Rhinolophus ferrumequinum: one gene and its partners. The protein of the gene in region 1 interacts with the protein of each later gene in a pairwise test. Links are inferred from orthologs where the notes say so. Each region holds a gene or a part of one and is shown on either strand. Other genes may lie near its edges.

Region 1 (7,533 bases):
TTCAGGGTGAGCATACATTTTGATGCTTGCTTTTTGCATAGAGCCATAGAGCACATACTTTCCACACGACTTTATTGCCTTTATCTGGATTTTTAAGGATAGTGAATACCCTGCTCTCCATCTTCCATACTGAGAAGCACACAGACTCCATCCCTTCCCATCTTTAACCCTGGAAACGTTTTACTATCCTCATACAGAATGAAGAGGGAGTTGAAGGTGGAGTTGGCATCGGGTCCCAGCTGGAAGGGACCTTAGACATATAAATGGAGGCACCAGAGAAGGAAAGTGATTGGCTCAAAGTCACACAGCAACTCCTACCTGAGTAGTCCTTACCGCCACCCTATCTAGTGTCTGGAGCGAGTTAACTATGGACACTTACCTGCCAGGCATTGTCCTACATTAATCTTTCATTAATTTTGTCACTAAATCTCTACCATAACACTGTGGGAAAAGTTCTATAGCTCCATTTTTCAGATGAGGAAACCGAGACCCAGAGGAAGAAAAGTCACTTATCTGAACTGCCCAGCTGGCTGGTGGCAGAAGCGCAGCTAGAACCAGATTTCCTGATTCCCAGCCCAGGAGTTCATTCGCTCTCCTCTTAGGAATCCTTTCCTCTAGCCTGCCTCACCGGAGCAGGCCTAGGCCCCAGGTTAAGAGCTTCCCCAGCAGGGCTTTCCCTCCCAGTCCGGGTGCTGGATACCACTGTCTGATCATGCCTCCTTTCCTGTGCTGGACCACCGCCCAGATGAGCAGCTGGGGACTCGAGACTGAATGGAGCAGCAGGAAGAGGCTGTAGGCTGCAGAGTTCATTCAGAAGAAAGGCCAACTCAGAGCTGCTGAGGGCTGAGGAAACCTCACAGCGAGGCTTTACTACCCTCCTTGGCTGCAAGGGTACAAGCTCCAATAACCTCCTCCCTCTGATGAGTATCTATTATCAACTCCAAGAAGGTTGTGTGGAACCCCAGATCCCTGCTACTTTATTCCTAGGATCTGTGCCAGATCATTCTTAGAAAGACTTGATCCAATCTTTGCCCATTTTATAGACAAAGAAACTGAGGCCCAGGGAGGAGAGCTGGGTGGCGTGCCCCAGGCTCACAAAGGGAGGCAGAAGCAGAAGCAGGACTAGAACTCAGCTCTCCCCACAACCAGTTTAAGCCGTCTCTCCTCCTCCACTTGGCCTGTCTGCCGAAGAGTGCTCTCTCTGACTGGGAACAGGAGCCTTCTTCAGAGAGCAGGGTGACCCAGCCTAATGAAGGACAGGGAGACCTCACACCCATGCCTCCCAGACTGAGGTTCCTGCCCCTTGGCTGCTTTCTCCACCATCAACCAGTCTAGCAGGGGGAACAATTAGGTGGAAGTCCAAGATGCCCAATTTAAGTGTCTATGCACTTAACTCTTGTCTGGCCAAGTTTATCTTAGGCCAGTAAGTAGAGGCCAGCAGGTAGAGACCCCTGAGATGATCTGTGGATGTGCATGTGTGAGCATGTGTGTACATGTGAGACTGCTGGTTCACTGCATGGGTGGATCCCACCAGATTCCCTAAGCTGCCCACCTTTCAACTGGGAAGGCTTTTCTGAACCCAAATATTTTTCCCCAGTTACTGAGCCCATGCCCCTCCCCCAGCAGGGCCTTCAGGCTGAGGCTGAGAGAGGGAGGGAGGGAGGGAAGAAGAGAGAGAAGCCACGTTTCCTTAGGGAGGGAGGGGAAGAGAGAAAGAGAAGAAAGACAAGCCCAGAGACAGAGATAGTCACGGAGAGACAGAGAAAGTCAAGGAGACATGAGCGACAGAGAAACAGACCTAGAGACACATAGATGGGGAGAAAGACCTCTCTCCTCCTGAGGGATTGCCCAGTGCTGCTCTGACCAGCTGGGCGTCAGGTCCCTGCCTGGGGAGGTCTTGCTCCTGACTTTGGGGCAGCCTCGCCAGCACCCCTAAGTTTCCAGGTCTGCCTCAGAACCTGAGTCTGGCTCTGGCCCCCACATGGGGCGTCGGGTGTCTGGCCCTCTGAACACTCCGCTGTGCGCCTCCCAGCGGAGAACCAGCTGCGGGCCCACTTTGCGCCGAATCTGGTCTTGGAACCCCGGGAGGGGGCAGGATTGGTGTCTCTTGAGCTCATATCAGAGGATCGGATGGCCCCCGACGCCTCGAGGTCCCCTTCCCCGAGAAGGCGGAGGCCAATGCATCCACGGACGGACCCCCCCCCCCCCGGGGGGGCGCGCGCTGGCGCAAGCACAGAGGCTCCGGTCCAGGCTCTGGGACTAGGGAGGTGTCGAGGGATCTTAGTCATCAAATCTCAGAGCTCTAAGCACGTGTCCCTTCGGGGGACCCTGCACCGAACCCCCTCCTCCGCTTCTGCCCAGTGATGTATAGCTCCGTCCTTCAGGGGGGCCCAGGCAAGCTGCGAAGACCGGTGCCGAGGGGTGAAAGGGGGACGCAGACCCTTCATCTTACCGCATTGTTGAGGAAATCCGACTCGTTCAGATCCCCCAAGTCCAGGAAGCTGGATCCGGGGAACAGCCTGTCGGCGGGGAAGGGCTCCAAGACCGCGTCCATCGCGGCCGGCTCCGGAGACCCTCTTCGGCTGGGCTTCCCTTACTCCAGGGCGGCGGCGCGCCTGGCCCAGAGCTCCTGCTTGAGCTCTGGCAAGCGGGCGGGGGCAGGTCCGGGGCGAAGCCCCGAGGGAGGGGCGGGCGGAGGCGGCACAACCCCGGGTAGGGGGCGCCGGGGGCGTGAGGGCCTTAGGGCAGCGGCGCGGAGCGGGCTGGGCTCAGGGGCCCCGGGCGCACCGCGGGCATGTAGCCGATTCCTCCTCCTCCTGCTCTTCCGGGGGCACAGCTGGCTTCCATGGGGAGCCCGGGAGTGGGGCTGAGGGCTTGAGGAGCCCCCGGGACAGGGTGGGAGCCAGGGACGGGGGAGCTGAGAGCTCCCCCGAGACTGGGTGGCTACCAGGCGCTCCGCTCTCTCAGCGTCCCCTCTGCTCGGCTTCTGTCACTTTCCTCTGTGAAACCGGGAACCCCGGGCTGGTTAGCCCAGCTGGCCGAGGCGCCACGCCCCCACATCAATATTCACGATAATCTCATATTAATGAGAAGAGGGAGTGGCCTGAGAAATCGTCCCTCCTCTTTTAAAGAGGCCTCTTTTAAAGAGACAAGCTAGTCTTTGCCAATCTCTTTACTGACCGCTCAGTATAGGGGGTTAAAGCAAAACCGTCCCGGAGCGAATAACTGTTCCTGGAACCTCCGCATTTTGGTAAGGCTTTGCCAACCACTCTCCTGTAACTTCACGAGGGAACTGAGTTATTTCCATTTTTTCCTGCCTTATGCTAGAACCTGAACCAAATCCAAAGCCATGGAATTCTATCTCACAGGCCCCTCCAAAAAATCTCCTCAATGGGGAGATTTTCACACGTCTCCTCCACCAGGAAGCCTTCTTTGATCCCAAGGTTGAAGCAGTTACCACCACTGTATACTCACAGGACATTGTGTGCTTATATCATTTGGGGTGAATTTACTGTCTTTGTTTGCTCAATTGTCTATGACCCTAACTGGACTCAGGGCAAGGACTGTATCCACCTTTCCTGTGTGTGAAAGGGCCAAGTGAGCAGCAAAGATGAGGCTAGGACCCCTCTCCTCATCAATCATCAAGTCCCCCTAATCGTTCTGAAGAGCAAGAAGTTGGCGAACAGTGGCCATGGAGTTTGCCTGAGCCAAGATGCTGGTTGGTTGCATGCTCTGTGGTCATGGGACACTCCCAGACCCCCAGGATCCATTACCTAAGTGGCCCGTTCCATAGTACGTCTTAATCTCTTAAAAGGGCTGATAAACAATCACCAGGCACCTGAACAAATGGAGGTGGTTCAGAAAGACACTCCCTCAGAGGGCTGGGCACACTGTTTCCTGGTCAGAAGTCATTAACAGGATTAAGTGTGTCCTTGCTGCCTGGGGCTTTTAATTAGCTCAGGAACCAAAAGGCCTTTAAGAAGCAGAGATGTCATTGCAGTTAAGCTAGGGATGTCACTGAAATGGCTCTCGCAGTGCCAGGGTGGGAAAAGGGGACACATTGAGGCTAAGGGAGCAGCTGTTTGCTTGCCTGGGGCGGGTGGGCAGGCAGGCTTTTCTGCCCGCTTTTCTGCCATCTCATGACACGGTTGACATAGTTCTGGAGAATGAAGTTCTGACCCTCCAGGCTGTCACATAACTGTTAGCTTCCATGCCTCCTGGAGGGTTTGCTCCTGAGAAGCTGGCAATAGAGTCCATGCTCTGGGGACCAGTGCACCAGCAATACAACTCTGAAAAGTTAGGCTGGACCCAAAAGAAATCAATTCACTCTCAAAACAGTGGCAGGTAGAATTAGGATACTGAGACCATAGATGCTTCTCCCAAAAGTGTCACATCTGGTCAACCGGGGAACATTCAAACACTGGGAATGAGAATGATCCTTTTCAGGGTGGGGGAGTGGTCTTGGCTGAGTGAACAAGCCAGTCTGTGGTGGGTGAGCTTGTGCTAGCAGGTGTCTGGAGTCCTGGCTCCTGAGCTGGAGTCCCTGCAGGCCCCCAGGAGGAACAAAAGTGCCCGTCTGCCTGAGGTTGGCTAGAAATTGTGCCCATGTTCCTCCCAGCTTGCTCTGTAATTAGGGACACAGGCACCATTTAAGTGATTGGAGAAGATTATACAGTTTTAGATAAATAGGATTAGCGTGTCCTCTCTTTCCTGATTCTTACCCAGGTGAACACCCCAGGAAACTGTTGAAAATAATCCTGGGGAGACATTCTGGTTCCAGTACCTCCTGTGCAGTCTGAGACACAGGATCTTCCAAGAAAAGTCCTGAGGGTGAAGGGGTGGGAAGAGGAAGGAAAAAGAAATGGGCACTGCAGAACCTGGGACATAGTAGGAGCATGTTTCTCTGCGATGGCAAAGTCCTGCAAAGATGAGAATGGCAGAGGATTTATTCACATATTCTACAAGTGTTATTGAGCACCTATGAACACTGGAGACACAGTGATGATTAAGAAGTTATGTTTAGGGTGAATGAGGAGAGCCTGGGGGATAAAATGAAGAAGATGATTTCAGATAGTGATAAAGACGATGAAGGAAATAGAATGGTGAGAGATGGCTATGTGGATAAGGAAGGCCTCCCTGAAGATGGACCTGTGAGCTGAGAGCTGAATTATGAACTGGAACCATTGTGGGGTAAAATGGAAAGAAAAGCATTCCAGGCAGAGGGAACAGCAAGTAGAAGAGAAAGAAAGAAAGCCTGGGAGGGGCACGGGAGGAAGATGATGAATGTAAACCCCCAATGTCCTGCATAAACCCCCTACTTATGGTTATATTGAGGCTCAAGGCTTTGTTCTATTTAAGTACTGAAAAGAAGTGCATCAGTTCAAAGGCCTGCCTGAAGCCTTCTGTAGCAGCACATCCCTTCTGTATAGTCTCTTAAAGGTTTTTCAGGACAGGCAATTAGACAGCTGAAATTAGGTCTGAAATCACGGTTCTGACTCAACAGGGAGGGTCTGCTTTCTCCCTCAAGTCCTGGGCATGGTCCACAAGCCAGCCCCTCTCAGGCCCCTTCTCTGCCTCTGAAGGGTTGGGGAAGGAGGCCAAGACTGGTTCTGTAAACACCCCCAAACACTCCAGGTCAAGAAAAGCATAGACCGAGGCCCCTCCTGTTATGGGCTCGAGAACATCTGGTGGTTGCTCTCCAGCAGCTGCTCCAGCTGTGAAGCAAAATGCATAGACATCCCAACCCAGGCAGTGAAGCACAGGAGAGAAAGGATGGAGATAAGCTTCCTGCCTGTCCCAGACACTGAAGGGCAGGTAGAGAGAGAGGCTCCTGCCAGGCGGAGCTGTAAGAAGGGATGGCGTATGAGAGAGTATGTGTGCATGCATGTTCGTGCATGCGTGCATGTGTGAGTGTGTGTGTGTGTGTGTGTGTGTGGGTGGGTGGGTGTGTGTGTATGTGAGAGAGAGAGAGAATGGGGGGCTTGGCTGGGGACTGTCACACTTTGACACCCCTGGATAGTCTCTGCTCTTCTCTGGGTCTCAGTTTTCCCATCTATAAAATGGGAGAGGTTTTAATGACCCCTAGGATCCTGTTCTCTCCAAGTACCTTCCAGATGTTCCCTTACCAGGATACGGCCTGCAGGGAGTGGGGGATGGGGTCAGGACCTGCCTCCTCAGGAGGACTGGCACTCCCATTTTCTAGGCTCCCACCTGGAGCCTCCAGGAGGGAGCAAGGGTGGGTGTTTACACTCAGCAGGCCAGCCCCGGTGGTGGTAGTGAGAAGGTCACCCAAAGTAAACCTGCTTTGTTTGCCTGGCTTGTAAAGGGAAAAAGGCTTTGGTGCACTCTAACAGGAACTTCTGAGAAATGAAAACATATTCATCCTGGAGATTAGGCTGACTTCCGGGGCACAGATGGGAACTTTGTTCTTTTGTGGCTCCCCTAAAATGGGCTGCATGGCTGCTCTCCCTGTGCCCTAGGCTGGGGCTAGATACAGAGTCCCTGGGGTGACACCCTTTCAGGAGGGTGGGGGTGGGCTTCAGACCCCAGCTCTCACTCTTCTCCATCCCCTTGGTATGTGGTTCCTTCCCAGCTCCACCCTGAACCATAAAAATATCTGACCTTTATCGAGTACTTGCTTTGTGCTGGGCACGAAATACTTTATTTACATTATCTCCTTTAATTCTTAGAACAAGCTTGTAAGATAAGTAAGATAGTCACTGATTCTGAGATGCATATTTTAAAATCTCTGAAGTCAGAATATGTCTTATAATCAATGGTATGTTGTAGTTGAATGGACAGTGTTCTTTCCTTCTTAATGTACAAAAAATAATGGTGCATAATACAACTGATGACATTGTAGATTCAATGAAACACGATATTATTATTATTAGCCCCAACCTGCAGGTGAGAAAAGCAAGACTCAGAGAGTTTATATTCCTTTATTTCACGGGAAACCAAGGCCTGGGGCTACAAGAGGCTTGCCTTTGATTGCTTAGCTTCGATGGGACAAAGACAACACTGAAATCTGGGCCTCCGGGCTCCTCACCCAGGGCCTTTTCCACTCACCCCAGATGAACTGGGTTTGCTCACTAGGCAGAGGCAGTAGCAGAGGGGAGGGACCTTCCAGGACCTTCCTCAGCAGCTAGTGAATCACCAGCCACCTTGCCTTGGAGAAGGGCCTTAAAAATAGATATTTTCCCCTTTCCAAATTCTCTGAAGACTGAAGTTCCTTAAGGACTAGGAAAACACTTGCCTCCCTTCCAGCTCCTTTTCCTGGTAATTATTTTAGCTTCTCTTTCCCTGAATTTTTGCTCTACTGTCCCATCTTCAGACTGGAGGCAGGCCCACACCTTGGCCCTCTGTCTGCCTGCTGCCCGAGGAACAGCTCCACCCTCTTCCTGCTTTGCTCTCAGTCTTGCTCTGTATTCACCCTTCTCTCTACCTTACACCACCTGCACCAACACTGCTTCTAAAGACTCTATAACCCAGACCATGGGCTCCCACCCTGAAGACATACACTCAGGCATACAG
Region 2 (7,746 bases), on another chromosome or scaffold:
GACCCATTGCTGTGAGCAAAACTCCACATTTACAAAAAAGATAAATGAGTGATGATTTATTTACAAAATACTCAAAGTGTTCTAAATAGATGTTCCCACAATGCAGGAAAACATTCTGTAAAGTTAGATATATCTACCACTTCCCAGGAACAAATTCATAAAACACGTATACCTGTATTGAAACAAAATGGTTAGAGAGGAGAGGAAGCCGACTAGAGTGTGCTTCAGGCTTTGCACATGAATCTCATTTATTCCTTCAAAATCATGTAATGCTGGCAAAGCCATCGCCCTCCCCTTTCACCGTTAAGAAAACAGACTAGGGAAGATCAAGAAATTTAGCCAAGAGCTCATAACTATTCAAGAGTCCCTTCAGTTGCTAGCGTAACTGACGTCATATACCTCTGGCAAGATTGAACGTAATGGCATATTCAACACAAATATTACACTATTACTCTCTGACCTTCACTTCCATGGCTGGCCTGTTTTTATCCCTTTTTTTTATCTTTTAAAATCAATTGTCAAAGTAACCTTCCTTTGAAATGTACCAGCAGGATACACTTCTTTTCTCCTTTTCATACCCCTCACCACCTACTCTCAAGAATAACAAATGACAGATCTTTATTAATACTTTCCGCATAAAAAAAATTCCAAGCTCTGTAACTGCAAAAATTAACCCCACACAGAGTTTACCCTAAATAAACTGGTTGCTTCAGAACAACTTAATGAAGGGTATCATGAAAATAAAATACATTTCTAGTAGGCACCACGAGGAATGGGGTGACCAAAACCTAGAGGCCACTCAAGTTCAAAATTAACAGGGAGGCTGAAAAAGGTATTGGACTAGGAGTTTACATGTCTGTCTCTGCCACTTGCAAGTAGTAAAAGATCATCTAACTTCTTGGGACCTCTTTCATTTTCAGCAAAACAGAGATTATAACTCTTGATCTATCTTGTCCATAAGATGGTCATGGAGACAAAATGTAGATTCAGAACCTTGGCAATAGACAGCACCATAGAAAGATAGATTTTACAGCAGTAAAAAGGAGGCCAGAGAGGCTAAATGACTTTAAAACGTCACACAGTGGGGGTGGGACAGAGCCAAGAGTGAAATTCATAATTTTGAGATTTTTAGTCCACCTGTTGTCTTTCCCGCAACAGTTTCTACCCACTGAACTTTGCACTTTATTACTCAACATTATTTGGTTGCCATCTCAATGAAATTAACCTGGTCTCCCTTTGGTAAACTTTCCTAGCCATTCTTCCTCCTTCCTTTTTTTTTTTTTTTTTTTTTTTGAGATAACACTGGTTTATTGGTTTATAGCATTATATAAGTTTCGGGTGTGCAACATTAGAATTTAACATCTGTGCATAATATATCGTGCTCACCACCTGAAGTCTAGCTTCCATTCTTCACCCCGTTGACCCGTTTTGCCCTACTTCCATCGCCCCAATTATTAATTTATAAAGTCACACCTTAAAATACACGCTTTTCAGTTTAAAGACTAGTATCTTAAAGCTGGCAATGCTCTCTCTGGTCAATGAGATCGACCTTTCGCATAAATAATCCGTTCTATTACATCACTAGGAGTCATGTTTGGCCAAAGTACTCGTAACCATCTAAGAGTAATAAACGCTTTGCGGGCCGCTTGAATACACATGAAACTTTCTTTGCCGCGTGTACAAAATCAGACTGACTTATAAATCAAAAAGCTTTGTGACGTTATGAATGGGACAGAGAAAAGAGCTGGAGGAACCTTGGCTTCTGTCAAGAGATCCCTGCCGGCCTAGGACCCATCACGTGAGAAATTCTCCCGGATCAATACCCCCAGTGTGTGAAAAACGAGTGACGACAGCAACACCCCGTGTCCCCCTCCGAGGGATGCTGTGCAACCATTGGGCGGGATAGGAAACGCTGCGCAGGATGAAGAAGTAGCGGGCTCAGCAGGGTCCCAGGCAGCCCGCCCAGAGCGGACCCAGCCCAGGCCGTGCATTCCCGGCCTCGGCGCTCCGCGGCTCGGGGCTCGGCCCGGGGGGCGGCGCGCGTTAACGCCTGTCCTCCGCCTTTCTCCGTGCAGTGCGGGGAACACGGCTGCGGCCTGCGGGAGTCACTCACCTGGCCAGGAGCTCCAGGAAGATCACGTTACTGCAGCAACCTGCGAAAACCAGGCCCACCGCAAAGATCGGGCGCATGGCCAGTGCAAGGGACGGGGAGCGAGCGTGCAGAGGAAACGCCGCCTATATCGCTATCCCAGGAAGCAGGACCGCTGCCTCGGCCACCGCAAAGAACATCGCCACCGTCCCAGGGCGCTGCTCTTCTCCGGGGCCGCCGTGGTCTCCGGCCGAGGAGCTGTAGTTCGCAGTCGGCCTCGGCCCCATTCATCCGAGGGGGCGTCCTAGTCGGGGTCAAACTACATATCCCAGGATGCCGCGCGCCCTTACGTCAGGCTGGGACGTGTCCCTCTTCGGCTGAGCAGCTCCACTAGAGAGGAGGGACAGGGTGCCCGTCATGTGTCGCACGATGGAAGCCGCGGGGCTTGCTGGGAAGTGAAGTTCTAACGCTGTCAATGTTGTTTCTGACGAAGCCAAGGCTTCAGAGAGGGATTCGTCCATCAGTGTCTGAACAAACTCGCAGCTGGCGGCACTAGGGCTACAGGCCTGTGATTGATCGTTGGAGGCGTTCTAGCATCTCAAACAATTCTCTCGAATTGAGTGAAAGTAGAAATTCCTCTGAACTGAACTTTTCTCCCGCTTGAAAAGTACATTGGACTCCGGAAGTTCTGGAATTGAATCTCTGCTCAGCTACCAATCAGTTCTGCTATCTCAAGCAACTTCTTTGAGCCTCAGTCTCATCATTGGTAAAGATGGGAATAGTAACGCTATGATCACAATGGGATCTAATTAAAATGTGGATTCTGGTTCACTACACCTGCGGTTTGCCCCGAGATTCTGCATTTCGAACAAGTTCCCAGGTGCTGCTGATGGCCCACGTTTTGAGGAGCAGATGCCTATAAAACAATTGACCCTGGACACTTCTCCTCCACCCCTCCCATTGGCTCCTGTCATCCATTTTTTCCCCCTCCTCCTTTCCCCTTAGCCTACAATCATGCTCAAACTGATTTATTCTTCTCCTTCACTTTACCACCAAGTATCTTTAAAGAGTAGTCTAAATTCACAGTCCCTGCTTTTTACTTTGATCAAAGCGAGATTTTTGAAAATAGTCTCAGTTAGAGTCCTACTGACCTCTTAATTGTCAAAACCATATATAGCAGGTCTTCCAATAACATCCTTTTGTGAACTTAATTCTTGCTTGTATCAATTCGCCTATGGCAAAATTGGTTTCGTTACACACCATTTCACTTAAAGTCGCAGTTTCCAAGAACTCATCAATGACAGTGAGAACTTACTGTACCCACAGTCTCATCTGACCTGATCTTGCAGTGGCTTTTGACAATGAAAGCTCCATTCTCCTAACATTTTCTTGTCCCTCTGATTATAAGACATGAGTCTCCTGTTTCTCTTTCTGCTTCTCTGACTTGCCTTTTTCAGTCTCCTCTGCCCACTGAATCCCCGTCCAAAGTTCCATCATTTGTCCCCTCCTTTTATTGCCCTGAACACTCTGTATTGGTGATTTCATCTCCATAACTTCAACCATCACTATATCTAACTGTGATCCTACATATTCATATATGTGCAGCCCCAGTCTCGCTTGGGTCTTAAAGTTTCCAAGGGCTCGGTTGACATCTTCACCAATCTGATGCCTGAGCAGAGGACCTTTCTGCTCACAAAAGCTTTCTGTGTAGCTTTCTAATGCCCCATTCGTGGCTCCCTCCTCTGTATCTCCAGCACTCCATTCCTACCTAAACTATTCCAGGACTCCTGTTGCATCGTAGTGATCTGTTTTCATGTCACTCCCCCCCAGTAGTAGACTGTGCCTCTTTGTAGACAGGAACCAAGAATAAGTAATTCATCTCTAGATCCTTAGCATCATAGACAGTGACTGGTATGTAATATGTACATACAGTTTTTGTTGAATAAATGTGCTTGACTTCATTGTTTGAGGAAAATATTTCACACCTCATAAATTCAATAAATATGTAATATTTTTCAGCTTGACTAATTTAAAAATGTAAACATCAAAAAGGCGCTGCTCAATGAATTTGCATAAACAGTATATAGAACCAGTACCCTAGCCAGGAAACAGCACTACCAGCTCCCAGAAACCCCCTGCACCCCCTTTCTATCACCAATCCCCTCCAGGAATAACCGCTTTTCTTACTTTCTAGCACCAGAGGTTAGTTTTGCTGTTTGGGGACTTTACACAGATGGAATCAGAATATTTTATTTGTTTGTTTCTGCTTCTTTCACTCAACATTATGTTTGTCAGTTCCTCTGTGTTGTTGCATGTATTTATATAGTTAATTTATTCTCATCACTGTATAGCTTCCCTTGTAGGAATATACCACGATTTATTTGTCTCTTCTCCAGGTGATGGAGAGTTTAGCTATTATGAACAGCGCCACCTACTATGAAATGTCTAGTACATAGCTTTTGGTGAACATAAATGCATATTTCTGTTGGATAGCAGCATATTAATCAAGGTCCAGTCAGAAAACAAAAACCACCCAGTGATTTGAACACGCAAAGTTTAACGTAAAGAACCATTAACTACTAACAGAGGATGAGTTTCTATGAGGGGTTGAATCCCAAGATGATAGGAAGAGCAGATTATACAAGGAGTAGCTACTGCCTAGGACTGAGACAGACTACCCAAGGAAGGAACAAATTTGGGAGAGGGCCTTCTTCCCCCAAGTTGAGATTCGGGCCTTATTGATGAAGGTTTGGCTGTAGCCCTCTGGCTCGCAGAGAAGTTCACTGAGTGCTGCTAAAACTCACTATGAGCTACACGCTGACTGGCCAATTCACCAGGAAGCTGCTGGTGGGGGTACTGTACTCTCAGGAAGATGCCTGGGGCTCCGGCAGAACTTTCTAATAACCACTAACCACCTGTACGTACTGCTGAACTCATTGAGGTGAGCCACAGGATGTCCCTCCCAGGTGCTGCAGGAACAGGAAGAGAGGAAAACACACCAGAACCAGAACGAGAAGCCACCTGGTCCTCTAAGGCTCATGCAGCATCCTCCGTGACTAACCTCAGCAGCGTGCCACCTGGCAGAAGAGAAATGTCCCCAGGCTCCTGCTCCAGCATCACAAACGACCATGAAAGGTGATTTTGGAGCTGAAAGGCTGTAAATTGACAACTGGGACACCCCATTTTTTTAGGGGTTATTTCTACTTCAACATTTTAACTGTTTCATCATAAAATCAAAGTCATGAAGTGCAGGCCTGGCTTCATCTCCCAGACTTTTTTCTTCTTGTTCCTTCTCCTGAGTTCAAACTTCTAGCACCTTTGAATGAATAGCATCTTTTTAGACAGCAGCTGGCTGGGCTCCCCCTGTTTAAACCTTCCCGTGATCCTCTCCCCTGGTGAGGAAGGACCTATCGCTCTGGGAGTGTTCATCCTCTTTGACATGCCCCAGTGTTGTCAGCAGGAAAAGCTGTCAAGGTTGTTTTAAAAACCCTTTTTGCTTCTCGTTCCAGACACTCAGACATATTTTGAATCATTTATAAAATCCACTTAACCAAGTTGTTGACGAAAAATTAAATAAGATGACTCCTGTGGGATCCTGCTCGACAAGTGTCCTCAAGTTGACAATCCTACAGAGATTTGTCACTTGGGTTTTTTAAAACCTTGTTTTCCATATCTATCACATGAAGATGATTTTCTCCTCTCTGTATCACATAAATTTCGAGATGCTTAGAGCTGTGCACAGGAAAGGTACCCTATGAATATATTTAAGGTATTATACATAAAGCAAAAATATTTTTGTTGCTTATATCATAGGTCAGACTCAAGCAACACCCCAGTGTATTGATAGATTTATATAATCTAACTTCTTCAAGGGTATTATTCATTTTCTTTTTCAGAGTACTAGAGTTAAGGCACATAGAGTTTTGGCTAGAAAGGAAACTTTCTCATCCAGAGTGATAATGATACAAGGTCAAGGATTTTATCTTCCTAGCCATAGTATCTTCCATATCTAGATGGCATCTGGCTCATAGCGAATGCTCAGTACGTAATGGTTGGAAGGTAGGAAGGAAGAAATGGAGGGACAGAGGGTCAGACACGGGTTGAAGAGGTAGGGGTAGGGAAGGAGGAAGAAAGACCTTTAGAAAAGCCAGCTCCTTTTCAAGGGACTCTTGTACACAAAATAGGAGAGGGGTTGAAAATGGTACCTGCCGTGGGAGAAGGTACTAAGTAGAACAAGCACCTAAAGAAACAATTTTTAGTGCTGAGGCTGTGGGTGAGCTCCCTAATGACAGGAACCGCCTCTACTTGCTCTACGTGCCTCACGGTTCCCCCTTCGTTGCTGCTGAGTTGATGTTTGTTAAATTGTATGATTGAGTTGAGCTGGCAAATCTAACTAAGACACTGTCATATCACCTTTCAGGAAAAAAAAAAAAAGATGTCAGAGAACCAAGTTTTCCACATCAATGTGACATGTCTCAAAGTTATTTACTGAAGTTCAACCCACCCTCAATAACTTAATATTTTTAAGGAGAAAAACAAATCCATGGGATCATTTAATTTCAGATTTTTTACACTGGTTCTGTCACCTTTTCCCTGTCTCAGGTAGTAAGTGTATGTGAAGATGTTACTAACCCATATACTGAAACACGCTTTGATCTGTTGCGGGAGGTAACTGTTTCAGTTTGTAAATGCTCCCACACGTAGCTCGTGTACCCCTCCAACAATTATATGCGGTAGATAGGAGTTATTATTCCTCGGAGAAAATCTGAGGGTCAAAAAGGTTAAGTGTATTTCCTAAGTGTCAAAAATTTGAATGCATATGGGGCCAGGCAGGGAAAGGAAATGTATGGAACTGATTTTTAAGAGAAATGCATGAAACTTGCTGCAAAACATTTGAGTTTTGTTGGGGAAATGGAAAGTGTAAGCTCTATTTGGATGCATTCAAAATCACATTTAAAAATGTTTATTTTTAATTGTGGTGACATACATCTAACATAAAATTTACCAGCACAACCAGTTGAAGCGTATAGTTCAGTGGTGTTAAGTACACTTACATTGTTGTGCAACCATCACCACCATCTATCCCCAGGACCCTTTACATTTTGCAAAATGGAAACTCTGTACTGATTAAATAATCACTCACCTTTCCTCCTCGCCTCAGCCCCTGTCAACCACCATTCTAGTTTCTGCTTCTACGAATTTGACTATTCTAGATATCACATATAAGTAAATCGTACAGTATCTGTCTTTTTGTGACTGGTTTTTTCACTTAGCACAGTGTTCTCAGGGTTCATTCATGTTGTAGAATGTGTCAGAATTTCCTCCCTTTTTAAGGGTGAATAATATGCCATAGATACCACATTTTGTTTATCCATTTATTCACCCTTCAATGGACACTTGGGTTGCTTCCACCCTTTGGCTCTTGTAAATGATATGCTATGAATAGGGGTGTACAAATATCTCTTTGAGACCTTGCTTTCAATTCTTTTGGGGTATATATCCAGAATTGCTATTGGTAGAACCCAAGGTAATTCTGTTTAATTTTTTGAGGAATCGTCATACTATTTTCCACAGCAGCCACTTTATATTTTTACCAACCATGCACAAGGGTTCCCTTTTCTCTATATCCTCACGAACACTTGTTTTTTTATTTTTTG
Region 3 (7,276 bases), on another chromosome or scaffold:
ACTTTGGCTTGCCTCCAATTTGCTTGGTGACCCCAGGCCAACGCTCCTCTTGGGGCCTCAGTTTCCCCATCAGGTGGTTATAACCTGCCCTGCCTGCTTCATGGGGCCATGAGGAGGCTCCAGTGAGGACCAGATGAGCAAGAGGCTCTGGGTGTGAGTTGTGGGGGCCACTCACCCCATTTCCTCCAGGGAAAGAAGCGGCCCAGTGGCACAGATCCCAAGCTGAGGAAATGTCAAAGGTCAACCGGGCACTGAATGGGTGAAGATGTTCGCAGAAGGCCCTGCCCTCAAGACCGGGGGCCACTCACAGAGCAAAGTAGAGGGCTCAGGGCCTGGGGTCAGGAGAAGGTTCTAGGGATCCAGGGAATGAGCCAGGGGGTGCTGAGTGCAGGGCCTGCTGCAGGCCAGGCTTGGCAGCCTAATGGTCCTTACTTCACTTATTCTTCACAGCGGCCGCAGGGGAGGGGATCAGCTGCTTCTCTCTCCGGGCGCTGAGTCGCGTGGCCTCTTGGCCGCCCCAGTAGACTTGGTACTATTCCCACTGTCCAGATGAGGAAACTGAAGCACTGGGAGTCACAGAACTTTCCAGGTCTGTGTAGCTCTGAAGCCCACAAGACCACCCCTGCCCTCTGAGGAGGGGGTCTGCCGGCCTCAGATCTGGGCCACATAGCCACTCACCAGGGCTGTGTCACCTCCCCTCTCTCAGCCAACTTCTCATCCCAACATGGCACTTAGAGCCTGCCCCAGAAGTTTGCAGGGCGGAGGGCGGGCTTGGGCCACAGGCTGCTCCCACCCCGCCCTGGCCTTTCCACCCTCTGTCCAGTGCCAGAAGGTTCTCTCAGGGCCCACAGCCTCACTCTTTCAAGCCCCAGGACCAATGTTCCAGCCCCTACAGGGCAGCAGTGCAGTTAAAGGATCTGAGCCCTCCCTGTGGGGGGGGGGGAAAGGAAGAGGGGGCAGGGGGGTAGGACCTCCCAACCTAGTGATGCTGCTTCACTCCTGGCCTTAGGGCCTCACCTCCCTGCCTCTGTGTCCCCATCTGTTCAAGTGGGGCTGAGCCATGGGTCTCTGGGGGATCCTTCAGTTCTCTGAGGCCTCCCTACGGGTGACCCTCCATATAGAAGGTGACAAAATTGCTGCCCAGAAACAGCACAAAGGGTTTTGCCCTTCTCTGCTCCCTCCCGTCCCAGCTGTACCCAGTCCTTCAGGCCTTATCTCTGGAAGCCTGTTTGTTTTCTTTACCGACTCACAGCAATTCTTCATCATAACCTTTGTGAAACTTCTTTACTATGCAAGTGTCCAATGTAACAGACAACAGGTCTGGAAGGATCCACATCCAGTGGGTCACCCGGGAGGTCGGGCTGGGGTGGGGCTGGGGTGACAAGGCGGAATCTGCTTTATCAAGCATGACCTTTTTAAAGGGAGAGCACATCCAGGCATTGCTTGCACAATCAAAAGTAAGTAAAATAAAAGGCAAATAAAAGAAATTTAGATTCAAAAATAAAATAATGAAAAAGCAAAAATGTACATAGTAAAAAGTGGCTCCCTCCCTGTCAGCCCAGGCCCTGCCCCCGCAGCCGCCCACTGTGAGGCTTTGGGATCAGACCCCACTCATTCAAACCCTGGACAATGGTTCCTGGATGAGGCCGTTTCCCCCAGTTCAAAGGGCTCCCCTGGGGGCCCCGGACTACCTATGAGGTTTCCTCTGGGAGCCTTCGGGGGACTGAGGAAGAGGCCTGCTACCCTCCACCCTCCTCAGTGCCTTTCATGGCCAGTGACAAGTGCCGTTGCCCCCAGGGAGCTGCGGCCTGCCTCCTGCTGCCCTGCGGGGGCCACACTCCACCCCACAGAGACACCCGGCCCTTCGCCCAGCGTGCCAGGAGCCCAGGGCAGGTGCTTCCTGCACACTGCCTTCTCCGACATCCTCTCCTTACCCAAGACCCAACGAACAGCCTCAGTCCCTTATCTCTGAGCTCAAGTTCTGCTCCTCCTGCTGTCATCCTAGAGCAGCTGGTACCAGGTACCACCATACCTTGGCAGGCCAGCCAGAGAGGCTCCCAGCCAATAACAGGCCCCGGGCATCTGCCAGGCTGACCCCAGCACTCAGCAGTGTGTACACTGGAAGCCCCTTCCACCTGGGATCTCGGATCCTTTGCAGGAGAGGCAGGGGACAGACAGGTCCCACACCAGGCTCCTGTCCAGGCTACAGCTCACCTGAGCACTGACTGGCCCGGGAAGCAGGGACGCGGCTCTAAAGCCCGTGAGGGCCGGACCTGACTTTGGGCAAATAACCTCCCCAATCTGGCCTGAGTTTCCTCCCCTAGAAATGAGGTGTTTCAAGTGGATCAGGAGACCGAGGTCTCCCGGGCATTTTAGGATCCCAGCTCGGCCACTCCCGCCCTCCCCTGCCTCGGCTCGCCTCTAAGCAGGAATGGGCAGGAGAGGGGGGTGTCGGCCCCACCCCCGCCCGGGCGGCGCGGCTTCCCGCCGGGCCCAGCAGCGGAGCCAGGAGGGACAGGGCGGAGGTGGGGCGGGGCGGAGCGGGGCTGCCCAAGTCCCCGCCCTCCCACTCCCACCCCTACCCCCCACCCCCGCCTCCGCCTCCGCCTGCGGTCTCTCCCTGCGGCGGGAATCCGGCCGCGCAGGGACCCGGACCTGGGAGGTCTGGACCCGGGCCGCCCGCCGCCCCCTTCGGCTGACCCGGCAGCCTAGTGCAGCCTCGCGGCCGCCCTTCGGGTCCCCGCCCCGCGGCTCCGGCCTGCCACCTCCGGCCTCAGTTTCCCCTCGGGCCCTGCGCCAGCGGGCAGGCACTGTTGGCGGTTCTACCCGGGCGGAGGCCCTTGTTCGCTGCCTCCTTGGTGCCCCGTCCCCACTCACCAGCAAAGAGGACTCACTCCGGGAAGGGCTCTGCGCGGCGGGAGGTGGCAGCCGAAGTCCCAGGCCCACCCCGCCCCGCCCCGGCAGCAAAGCCCCGCCCGGCCGCCGCCCAGGCCACGGCCCCGCCCGCTTGGCTGGAAGCCCGGGCCGCGCTTGCCCGCGGGACTGGGAGTTCACTTCGCTCCTTCACGCCTCCAGCGAGACACGCTTCTGCCTTCCCCGCGCGAGCCCCTCTCTCCCTCCGCCACTAATCCCCACCGTGACCTTCGCGCTCAGGGCAGACCCGCGCCGCGTTCCAGCTGTGTCCGCAGGCAGGTTGCTTCTCGAGCTTCACTTTTCCCATCTGTAAAATGGGTCAACAGAGAGCGCGCTCAGAGAGAGGAATTACATGATGGCAAAGCCCTGAACATCATCAGACACAACAGCCTGCCCCGCCCCCATCTCCAGAAGAGCACCCTAGTTCCTTTAGCTGTTGCCCCACGGCACCGAGGCAGCACTGCACTCTTTGCCCTGGTTCTGCCACTCTGTGGCTGGTTCTTCCGTCTCCATCTCCTCATCTATAAAATGGGCACATCATCGTGGGACTAATTAGGATGCTCCACGGTAATACAGGCAGAGCATGGCGCTCAGTGAGTGGAGGCTGCAATGATCACAGCCAGAGGTGCCTCATGGGACCCGCGTGTCCAGCCGCAGGCCATAAGCTCCTCCCCCTCCTTATCTATTTGCTGCTTTATTACTGCAGCCCAGGGCCTGTCCCGGCCGTCTTCGGAGGACTTGATCTGGCAGGACCCTTAACCTACAGGAGCCATAATCGCCCAAACTGTCCTCTGGGGGCCAACGTGAACTGCAACTACTTTTCCCCAGGCACAGTGGTCTGGAGCCTCCAGGGCTGTCCCCTGTCCCTAGGCCCTGGCATTTTTGCCTCCATGGGCCCCGTCTACATTTAACCGCATTGGTATAAGGACAAGTATAATCCAGGCTGGTTTCTAGCCATCTTTTTCTTCTGATTTTAAAAGAAATTAAAACATTTTCCCAGGTCCCTCAAAATATGGTGGCCCCAGGTACTGCGCCTCTGTTCCTAATGCAAGCAGTCTGGCCACGCCTCCCCAGAGCTGCCAGCCCTCATCTTCTTCCTGTAGGGAGGTGCCGGTGGCTTTGGCTGAGTGGTACACTTGACTCCCCCGGAAGACACGTGGGAAAGAAGCAACTCAGCTTCCATCCGGCCTCATCCCTACTGCACAGGACTCCAGGCCCCGGGGGCACCCTGGGAGGCAGAAATTGCTGTCCCCAAATACTTGCTATATGCCAGGGCCAAAGGGAGGGGCTGAATACAAACACACAAGGCTCTGCCCTCCTGAAGTTCACACCATTCACAGGCAAGACGCTGCCGGAGACCCTGCTGCTCAGAGGGGGAGTTGGTACCCTAGGGACTCAACCCACAGGTCTGGGTGCAGATGAGGGTGCCCATCCCTCTCTACCTGCACACCTCCCATGACTTCCGCCTCCCTCCTCTCCAACCATCTCCCCCACCTGAGCCTGGGCAGCAGTGATTGACCTTCTGCTGGCCCCCAGCTCCCCACTTGTCCCTTCCATGCCTTTGCTCTGCTCAGGACCGTCCATTGCTTCCACTGCCTTAGGATCCAGTCCAAGCCTTGTACCTGGCACTTGAGGCCCTGCCAAGCTGGGGTCAAGCCGACTACCCCACCCTTTCTCCACCTCTGTGCCTTTTCACACACTGTTCCCCCTTCCTAGAGCACCCTTCACTCCCATCCTGGGCATCTCCATGTGTCAAAGTCTTACTGCTCTCCAGTGTCATCCCAGGAAGCTCTTCCATAACCCCAACTCTGTGTCTCCCCCACTGTAAGTGGACAGTGACCTCTGAACTCCACGGCACTAAGTATGGGAGCCTCTCGGGCATTTGGCATGTACCAACCTCGAGGAACATATATATATTGCGTACGTGGGGGCCCAGCTCTGGTCTGAATCCTGGAGAATACAACTCAAGCAAACCCAGCCCCTAGCCTCAGTCCATCAGCGGGGAGACAGGGAAAACACCCTCCCACTCCCCAGATTGACACCACTTCACATGCTCAGAGAGGTGAAAGGGCAGCGCACTGGCTGGAGAGAGTGGGCTTGAAGGCCAGACCAGGTAAAACTGAACTGAGCCTCCGGGGTACACACTGACCTCAGCCTCGCTGAGCATTGACAAGGAGAGCTCTTGCTGGGGCAGTCGGAGGAGGGCAGGGTTGAGGGGGAGACATGTCTGGCAGGGCTGTTTCAGGGGCATTGGGCAGGAAATGGTCCGAGGCGTGAGTTGTTCTGTCTTCTTGCTTCTGAGCTCAGACCATCTTGCATCTGTGTTCAGATCTCAGGAGTGGGGGGACACTTCTGTGAGGTGGAACCAGTGTCCTCAGCAGCAGGCAATGGAGGGGAGAACAGGACCTCCTCAGCCTGCGATCAAGACCGGCCAAGTGTGGACAAGAATCTGGACGGGCTCACCAGGGATTCGGTTCTTACACAGGCAGCACAGTGACAGCCGGCATCTTGGGGATGACAGCCCGCAGTACATCCCTGGTACATCCACTGCTCCCAGCTGGGCTGGCTACTTGTACGCCTGTGCACACATCATCCTGGCTCCCTCTTCAACACTACCCAGGGGATGCCCTTTACGCTTCTGCTGGCTAAATCATTTCCTGGATGACACCTCTACGCCTTTCTTGGTCCTCCCGTGTTTGTGGTGAGCCCATCCTCCAGGAGTTCTTGAGAAAGATTGCACAGGACGTATCATTTTGAAATCTTACATTCTCCCCCATGGTTGATTGATGCTTGGCTGAGTGGGAATTCAAAGTTGCAGACATTTGTCCCTCGGCGTCACGAAGACATGGTCTTCCAGCTGCCACCGTGCTGATGAGCAGGCTGAAGCTATTCTGTGTTTTGAGCTTTTTTGTATGTAACCTATTTTGTTCTTCCTGGAAGATTTTAAGATGTCTGTCCCCAGAGTCCTGAAATTTCACACTGATATTCCTTCAAGGGGGTCTAATTTCATCCATCGTGCCAGCACGCAGGAGCCCTTCCATGCAGGAAACTCATATCCTTCATTTTCCAAAAATTAAAATTTTTTTTTATGATTTCCTTTCCTCCATGTTCTCACTTCTCTTTCTGGAAACCCTATTACTCAGAATCCTGGACCTCCTGGGCTGGTTTTCTAATTTCCTTTTCTCTCCTTCTCATGTTCCTTTTCTCTCCTCCTCCTCATGTTTTGCCTTTTTGCTTTACCTTCTGTGAGGTTTCCACAACTTTCTCTACCTAGCCTTCTATTGGGTTTTTCAATTCTGCTATCCTATTTTTTCATTTCCAGGGGTTATTTTTCATATATATATATATATATATATATATATATATATATATATATATATATGGTATATACGTACGGATATAACTTCCTGTTCCTTTTTCATGGATTGCAGTGTCTTCTCTTTTCAACTATCAGAGTTAGTTTTCTATAGTCTCTGAATCCTATGCGGTTTTGTTTGTTTGTGTATTTGTTTCTGCTTGTAGGAGGCTATTGGAGAATCTTTGGCTGGCTGGTCATGATTAGAAGAAAGGAAGAAAATAAGTCTGTGGGTGGTATTGTTGGTGTAGCTTCACTGTAAGTTGAACTTGATGGGCCATTTGGGAACTTCCTGGACTGTCAACATCTTTAGGATTTTCCTCTTGGACTAGTCAGATTCCACAAGGTCCTCTAGCCGCTTACCTGAAGACTAGGGGCCAGGCTCGAGTTTTCTGGGAGCTCAGTAGGGGAGAGCCCTGGAGGAAGTCTCTGCATTCAGCATTCAGTGTCCGCATGTTTGGCAGCATACCCACATTCACCGCTGTCCCTAGTCTGTTCAGCCCTTTCCAAAGCTAAACCCGGGAAAGGGCATCACCCAGAAGCTAGAGAAAGGGAGGAGGTCTAAGGATCTAACTGGTCCTCAAAGGCACCTTGAACTAGTTCTCTTTATTTCAGCTCTCTTGCACCCTTAGATCTAGAAGCAGCTAATGTGCCACTTGCTAAGCTTTTGAGGATTCTGTTGTATGAATGAGGGTTGGTCCCCAGCTTTCCCCAATGCTGGGAGGGATCTGGCTGTCTGGGGTCTGCCAGGCAGGTAATACCGGTCTACCTGCTTTCCAGCTTCCAGAGGTTCTGTTGCTGGGTCCCCCTTTCCTGTTCTCCCTGTCCTGGTGGATTTATGTCTTTAAAATACCCCTTTACTGTGGATTAAAGGACTTCTGGAGGCAGTGTGCTCCATTCATGTCTTAACCTGAAACTCGCCTCCGTACCTTTTATGACCACAGCACTGTATAGATTTGTCATAATTCATTTAACTAATCTCCTCTAGTTGGACAGGCAGTTTATTTC
Region 4 (7,701 bases), about 73 Mb from region 1:
ACCAGAAGGGCCATGTGCGCCCCTTCTTCTTATCAGTGCTTATTTTCATTGAGCATTTATTTTGTTCATTCTTCACTGTTTTACTGAGCACCTATTATTTGCTCAGCAGTATGTTAGGTCCTGGAGATAACAGGGAGGAGACAGGCTCCTTCCTCCTCCAGGAAAGGGAATGGCCAGGCTCGTCTTACACTGTTCTCTACCTGCTCTGTAGTGCAGACATTGCTCTTCTGAACAAATGAACAAAAAAACTTACTCAGGATAAGGAGGATCCCGACAGAGAAGAGGACCACAGCAAACACCAATCCCCCGATCCTCAGGGTCTGGTAGTCTGCCAAAGGAATAGGGTGAGAAATGGGAAAAGAGGAAGGGCCAGGGAGAGAGTACCTGTCCCTCCCCACCCAGGACTGCCACACTACTCACCATAATGAAAAGGATCCTTTTCTTTCTCCTTCTCAGGTGCTACAAAAATAAACAAGCCTGGTCAAGAGGAGGACAGCTATACATCCTGGCTCCCAAATATCTCAACTTGCCTCACAGGCCTCCCTCCCCACAAAGGGATTCCTGGGAAGCAGGGCCGATTGAACAGAGGTGCCTACAGAAGTATGGAAGGGTGGCCCTGCCTGCGAGCTCAGGGCAGGTCCAGCTCAGAGCCCTAGTGAGAATCTGCATTCACAGCACAGCCACATTTATGGGCCATTTTTATTCATGTCGTCCCCAAAAGGAAGGGTCTATTTTCCTCTTGTTGCAGATGGGGAAATTGAGACTGAGGCAGGACATGTGACTTGCACAATGTCAGTCTAGAGACTGACGTGCAAGGTCTGGCTCCCAAAGTTCCAGCCAAAAGTCTACAGGGGGCTGTTGGATTTGAAGCTTAAAAGTAGACCCTGCTGGAGTCCGTGGGGAGAGGTGGGCAGGCTGAATGAGGGTCTGTGAATAGCCGTCACCTTCCAGGACTTCCTCTGCTGACTAAAGAAAGCAGGGGGGTGGGCGGGGCCCTGATCAGACATGTAGAATCTGAAAGCCCCCCAACCCTAGAGTCCCAGTGGGCCAGGACCTTCCACCAGAAGGGCCACAGCTGCCATCTTGTCAGAGCCAGGTCCTATGGCGTACTTACCACTGGCCAGGACAGCAGGGGCCAACAGGCTGCATAGAAAGATCAGCACTACCTCCATGGCGTCTGGGGACAGAGGGAGGACAAACAAGTCTCTGGATAGGAGAATCCCCACTCTGACCCTCAGCCTGACCAGGCAGAGCCCAGTCGGGTTCCCATCTCTATGCTGAGCGCTCTCCACACAGTGAGAGTTCGAACAACAAAGCAGAAGTAGCTGACATTTATCGGACTCTTACGGAATGCTCTGCTTGCATTAATTCAATTACTACAATTGACCCAATACAATGAGGAGGCACTGTGACTAACCCCTCTTACAGGTGAAGAACCTGAGCTTAAAGAGGTTAAATGACACTCACGATAGTGAGCAACAGAGCCTAGATCCTAACCCAGTTCAGTAAGTCCTCAGCCACCTGCCTCACTGGTGCCAAAGCCAAAAAGCCCCAATGGCTTTGGAGATGGTCTCATCTGTGACCTCCTCTTCAGGCCACCCTTCTGCGACCATCTCTAGTTCATTAAGATGTCTGAGACTTCCTGGCCTGGTTCCCCACAGCCAAGACCCACTGTTGGAAGTTCTTTCTTCTATCAGGTTTAATGGGTCAGGGAAACCAATGCCCCTCTAGTCCAGCCAGCCAGGAGGGGTGGGAGACCTGCTGTTTCCTGGGCTCTGTGTGGTAAACCCTGAAACGCTGACAGCTCTCCCTAAGTTACCTCTCACATTCTCACCTCTAATGTGTCCAAGCCAAATTTTCCCATAGGCTTTAGTTCATAATCTTCTAGAAAGGCAGTTTCATTGAACAAAGGGAGCATGGAGACCAGTTCTCTGAGTGTCAGTGCTCCAGCCTCTCCTTCCCCAGAAGATGCCTGAGACTTCTGCTTGTGAGCTTATCAAACCCCTGGTCTCTGGGGTCGGTCACCCGAGGATGGATCATTTGCATGAAGGCAGAAGGCAGGGCCACTTGGTCCCTCCCACGGGTAGATTTCAGTGGAGTTATATACACCTCATTCATGGACTTAAAGGAGTATGGTAAAGAGCCAGAGAGAAAAAGGGGGAAGAAACGCGAACTAGGAAAGCCAGAGGCTGTTTGCTCTTTTCTGAGTGGGTGAGACTGGCAGCAGCCTAACGTCTGGACATCCGTCTAGCGGCCAGGACCATAACTGTGCTGAGGGATCTCGCCCTGTCCCTTTCTCCTGAGGCAGCCCGCAGCCCCCAGCTGCCCTTCTCCTCTCAGCCACTAGAGGTCAGAACAGCTGCATCCAGTTATGCTAAGGCACAGTCCTGGGAGTCAGGTGATCCAACAAGTGTTATTCAAAAGGCACTACTTGGCTTTTATTTTATTTTATTTTTTAATTGGGGAATATTGGGAACAGTGTGTTTCTCCAGGGCCCATCAGCTCCAAGTCGTCATCCTTCAATCTAGTTGTGGAGGGTGCTGCTCAGCTCCATATCCAGTTGCCGTTTTTTTTCAATCTTTAGTTGCAGGGGGCACAGCCCACCATTTGAACCGGCAACCTTATTGTTGAAAGCTCACGCTCTAACCAACTGAGCCATCTGGCCGCCCCTCCGGAAGCTCAGCAACAGTTCATAGCCTTCAATCTAGTTGTGGAGGGTGGAGCTCACTGGCCCAGGCGGGAATCAAACCAGCAACCCTGTTGTTCAGAGCTCGCGCTCTAACCAACTGAGCCATCCGGCTACCCCAAACACTACTTTGCTTTTAATGCTAACTCCTTTAATAGTTGTAGTTTTTAAATTTTACGTTATATTTTATATGTGTGAAAATATATATAACACACATATAATAATGCATAGTAATAAGATAAACACCCATACGCAAGTAACTTAAGAACCAGAACTTTACAAATACAGCTGTACTTACCTATCTTCCTCCGATCCATCCACCCTGCTTCACTCCCAGAGGTAAATAGTTTCCTGAATATATATATATATATATATATATATATATATATATGTATATATATATATATATATATATACACTTTTAAAAAAGATTTTATTGGGGAAGGGGAACAGGGCTTTATTGGGGAACAGTGTGTACTTCTAGGACTTTTTTCCAAGTCAAGTTGTTATCCTTTCAATGTTAGGTGTGGAGGGTGCTGTTCAGCTTCAAGTTGTTGTCCTTTCAGTCTTAGTTGTGGAGGGCGCAGCTCAGCTCCAGGTCCAGTCGCAGCTGCCAGTTGCAGGGGGCGCAGCCCACCATCCCTTGAGGGACTTGAGGAGTCCAACCGGCAACCTTGTGGTTGAGAGCCCACTGGCCCATGTGGGAATCGAACCAGAGTTAGGAGCACGGAGCTCCAACTGCCCGAGTCGCCAGGTCGGCCCTGAACATATATATTTTTAATCGTTGCCTTACTCCTCTTCAAAAAAGGTTTTAAATTAGGAAATAATCACACATCATGAAATTCACCATTTGAAAGTGTACAATTCAATGGCTTTTAGTATATTCACAAAATTGTGCAACTATCAATTCCAGAACATTTTCATCATCCCAAAAAGAAACCCTGTAGCCAGTATCAGTCACTCCCATTCTCCCTTTCCCACAACTTCTGACAACCACTAACTTACTTTCTGTCTCTATTGATTTGCCTATTCTGGACATTTCATATAAAAAATACATCAATAAAATAAGTGGCCTATCGCATCTGATTTCTTTCACTTAGCATTATGTTTTCAAGCTTCATCCATGTTGTAGCATGTAGTACTTCATTTCTTTTTATGGCTGAGTAAGATTCCATTGTATGAATGTGCATCCTGCACTTTTCTAAAACATATCTAAATAAGATACTGTTTAGTGGAGATTTTTTGAGCTTTACAATTATGATACCATGTCTTTTACAGTCTTCTAGGACTGGCTTTTTTTGTTCAATATTATGTTTCTAAGATTCATTCATATTATTACCTGTAACCATAATTTATTCATTTTCAATGCTGTGTAATATTCTACTATGCCAGGAAATTATCATGCATTGGTCCCTTCTCCTATCAGTGGATATGACTTTTTTCAATTTTGTGCTATTGTAAATAATACAGCTGTGAACATTTTTGTGCATGTTGCCCAAAGCACATATGTAAGAGTTCCAAAGGCAATGTTTTTTCAAATCTTTTGACCACCACTTTCATTAAGAAACACTTTTTACATTGAAACCCAGTACAAATTTATATGTATGTATACCAGAAACAACAATATCACAAAAACAATACTTTATCTTAAAATAAATGATGCCTTCTGATATTTTCTATCCTACTGTGTCCTTTTTTAAAAAAAAGGCTAGATCCATTAACAGGTCACACGTGGCAGTTTGAAAAATTATGTTCTAGAGATAGGCCTCAGAGTGAAGTCGTTGGATTACATAGTATGAAAATTGTCCACTTTACAAAATAATTTCGAATTGTTTTCCAAAGTGGTCATCCCCATTTAAATAACCCACCAGCTGCATATGAATGTTCTTATCACTCTACATACTTAGCGATACCTGATATTGTCAGACTGCTTAATTTCTGCCAATCTAGAGGTATAAAATGTGGTCTTACTTTGATTTTAGTAATGGAGTTTGACTTCTTTCTGTTTATTCCTGTTTCTTCACTAGTGATGTTCCTTTCCTGTCTTTTGCTCATTTTTCAAATAGGTTGTCATTATTTATTTCTTATTCTGAATACTAAATCTTTGTCATGAAGTATTGCAAATATCTCATCCCAATTAGTAACTTATCTTTTCACTTTTTAAAATTGTCTTTCAATGAACAGAAGAATTTCTTAATTCTAATGTAATTAAATGCAATTATTTTTGTGTCACGCAGTCAGAAAGAATTTTCTTCTAAAAATTGTAGTTTTGTCTTTTACACTTAAATCTTTATTCCATCCAGAATCGATGTTTGTGTAAGGTGTGAGGTGGGTATCTAATTTTTACTTTTCTCCATACTGATAACCAGTTATCCTAGCACCACTTGTGGACCCTTCTCCTCCCCCCTTCCTCATGATGTGCAATGCCACCTGTGTCATATATCTGGTGTGGGTCTGTTTCTGGGCTTCTCTTTGGATCTCCTGGTCAATTTATACTTGCATCAAAATCACAGCGTTTCTGTTACTACAGCTTTATAGTAGTCTTTCCATGTGGTAGAGAAGCTTCCCTCTCCTGTTTCTCCTTCTACCTCTTCCTTCAGGAATGCCTTCATTATTCTTGATCTTTTGCTCTTATGTATACACTTTAGAATCAGCTTGTCAAATTCATCTAAAGCTGTTGGGATTTTCATTGGAATTACAATGAATCAATGAATCTATCTATAGAACAATTGGGAAAAACTGATATTTTTTTCTGACCTTGAGTCTCCTATCTGTCTTTTCACTTGTTTAGGTCCTTTTCAATGTCCTTTAATAAAGTTTTATAAGTGCTTTCATATAGGTCTTGCATATCTTCTATTATTTATTCCTGGGTCCCTCATAATTTTAATTGCTATTTTAAATGCTACGTCTTGTGTATGTTTTCAATTTCTTGCTGGTATAGAGAAAAGCAACTGATTTGTAAATTTGATATTAAATCCAATAATCTTGTTAAATTCTCTTATTATTTCTAATATTTTACCTTTAGATTCCTTTGTATGTTCCCTGTAGACATAACATTTGTAAACGATACAGTATTGTTTCTTCTTTTCCAGTTCTTACACTGCTTATTTCTATTTACCTTATTCTTAGTCACTGCTAGTTCTTCCAGTGAAATGTAGAATAAAAGCAGTGATCATGGACTCTCTCTCTCTCTCATATATTGTCTATTGATTTTATTTTATTCTGTGTTTTTTATTTTTTTCCAGCTTCATGAGATATGACATATAACATTGTGTAAGTTTAAGGTATACAATGTAATTTGATACATGCATGTATGCTGCAATGATCACCACAATAAGGTTAGTTAATACCTCCATCACCACACATAATTTCCTTTTGTGTATGTGTGATGAGAATGAATAAAGAAAATGTCATATATTATATATGTGTGTATACAAGTATACACATATATCACATTGTCTTTATTATTATATATACCGAAAAAATGTATACACATTTTAAGAAAGGAAAAAACTGTATTAAAATTGTAATACTTAATATATACTGATAACAAAAGATGAATACAAGTCATGTGTATGTGTTTTTTTGGCACCCCCAGTATATGAGATGTGATCAAATATGGTGAGTGTTTAAATAAAAAAAATTATTACAGTAAAAGACACATTGCCATTAATACTTCTCAAAATACTCCCCCTCACTTCGAACATACTTATCCCATCATTCTTGCCACTTTCTGAAGCAGTTCTGTAAGTCCTCTTTGGTGAGTGTCTTTAGTTGCACTCTTGTGGCTGCCTCGATGTCCTGAGTCATTTTGGGGAAGAGCCAGAAGTCACACAATGCCAGATACGGTGAATAAGGTGGATGAGGACACACCATAATGTTTTTATTTGACAGAAATTGCCGTATATCAGAAGCGATGTGTGACACAGAGTGTTATCATGATGGAGGATGATTTACGGCACACTTTAAAACACACCTTCTCTCAACCGTAGCTCACACCCACCTGACTTTACCGAACAAGTTGAAACTTGTCACACACTGTTAGTAAGGTTCAACACACCACTTCCAGTATTGAAGATCCTGGCCTTTCCTTTGGATAGCACTTGGTGGCAGCAATCACTATATTTTGTGATCATAATGGAAAGGCTCGCCGTCGCACATTGCTTCTGGTATGGCTTCTGGTAAGGTGTCCTCATCCACCTTACTCACCTGATCTGGCACCATGAGACTTCTGCCTCTTCCCAGAAGTCAAAATGACTATGAAAGGTAAGCGTTTTGAATCGATTCGGATATCGAGGCAGCCACAACAGCGGAACTAAAAACACTCACGAGAGAACTTCCAGAACTGCTTCAGAAAGTGGCAAGAAAGATGGGATAAGTGTGTTCGAAGTGAGGGGGGTTATTTTGAAGGGGACTAATGGCAATGTGTCTTTTATTAATAAACTTTTTTTTAATTTAAACATTCACCGTATTTTTTATCGCACCTCATACAATGGAATATTATTATTCAGCCAAAAAAATGAAATTACTGATTTAAGTCCTCCTCTGAGATGTTTCTGTTTTATATTATGAATGAGTATTCTATATCTATGGTTTTCCTCTTTTAATCTATCAATGAGTAAATTATATGTATGGATTATCTAATGTTAAATCATCCTTGCACTTCTGGGATACAGCCAATGTATTACCTTTTTAATAAGCTCATGGATTTAGTTTGCTGATATTTTGTTTAGGATTTTTGCATCCATGTGGATAAGTGAGATTGGACTGCGAGTTTTATTTTATTGTATTCATTTTGCCTGGTTTTGGTATCATGGTAGTACTGGCCTCACAGAACAAGGTATTTTCTTTCTTGCTGTTCTCTGGAACAGTTTGCAAAAGATTAGGTTAATTTGTTCATTGAATGTTTGGCAGAACCTGTAAAATCATCTGGGTTCAGTATTTTCTTGTGGGAGGATTTTAAATTGCCTATTCAATTAATTAATGGCTATGACACTTAAGATTTCTATTTCTTC

What was found.
Region 2: the proteins of CREB3L1 (region 1) and SLC35B4 interact in binary tests that used the Homo sapiens proteins (3 or more experiments, as listed by UniProt). The two-hybrid records come from large-scale screens. The link is inferred for Rhinolophus ferrumequinum from reciprocal best matches to the Homo sapiens genes CREB3L1 and SLC35B4.
Region 3: the proteins of CREB3L1 (region 1) and TSPO interact in binary tests that used the Homo sapiens proteins (3 or more experiments, as listed by UniProt). The two-hybrid records come from large-scale screens. The link is inferred for Rhinolophus ferrumequinum from reciprocal best matches to the Homo sapiens genes CREB3L1 and TSPO.
Region 4: the proteins of CREB3L1 (region 1) and FXYD6 interact in binary tests that used the Homo sapiens proteins (3 or more experiments, as listed by UniProt). The two-hybrid records come from large-scale screens. The link is inferred for Rhinolophus ferrumequinum from reciprocal best matches to the Homo sapiens genes CREB3L1 and FXYD6.

What each region holds. Positions count from the first base shown.
Region 1 is NC_046294.1:14,648,421-14,655,953, forward strand, and holds the start of CREB3L1 (cyclic AMP-responsive element-binding protein 3-like protein 1), read right to left. Parts: upstream 3,005-7,533; 5' UTR 2,555-3,004; coding exon 2,453-2,554; intron 1-2,452.
Region 2 is NC_046309.1:13,181,748-13,189,493, reverse strand, and holds the start of SLC35B4 (UDP-xylose and UDP-N-acetylglucosamine transporter), read right to left. Parts: upstream 3,011-7,746; 5' UTR 2,191-3,010; coding exon 2,114-2,190; intron 1-2,113. UniProt on the Homo sapiens protein: Antiporter that transports nucleotide sugars across the endoplasmic reticulum (ER) membrane in exchange for another nucleotide sugar.
Region 3 is NC_046293.1:5,301,388-5,308,663, forward strand, and holds the start of TSPO (translocator protein), read right to left. Parts: upstream 3,008-7,276; 5' UTR 2,878-3,007; intron 1-2,877. UniProt on the Homo sapiens protein: Can bind protoporphyrin IX and may play a role in the transport of porphyrins and heme. Promotes the transport of cholesterol across mitochondrial membranes and may play a role in lipid metabolism, but its precise physiological role is controversial.
Region 4 is NC_046294.1:87,201,296-87,208,996, forward strand, and holds the start of FXYD6 (FXYD domain-containing ion transport regulator 6), read right to left. Parts: upstream 3,005-7,701; 5' UTR 3,004-3,004; coding exon 2,985-3,003; intron 1,178-2,984; coding exon 1,115-1,177; intron 460-1,114; coding exon 421-459; intron 329-420; coding exon 254-328; intron 1-253. UniProt on the Homo sapiens protein: Associates with and regulates the activity of the sodium/potassium-transporting ATPase (NKA) which catalyzes the hydrolysis of ATP coupled with the exchange of Na(+) and K(+) ions across the plasma membrane.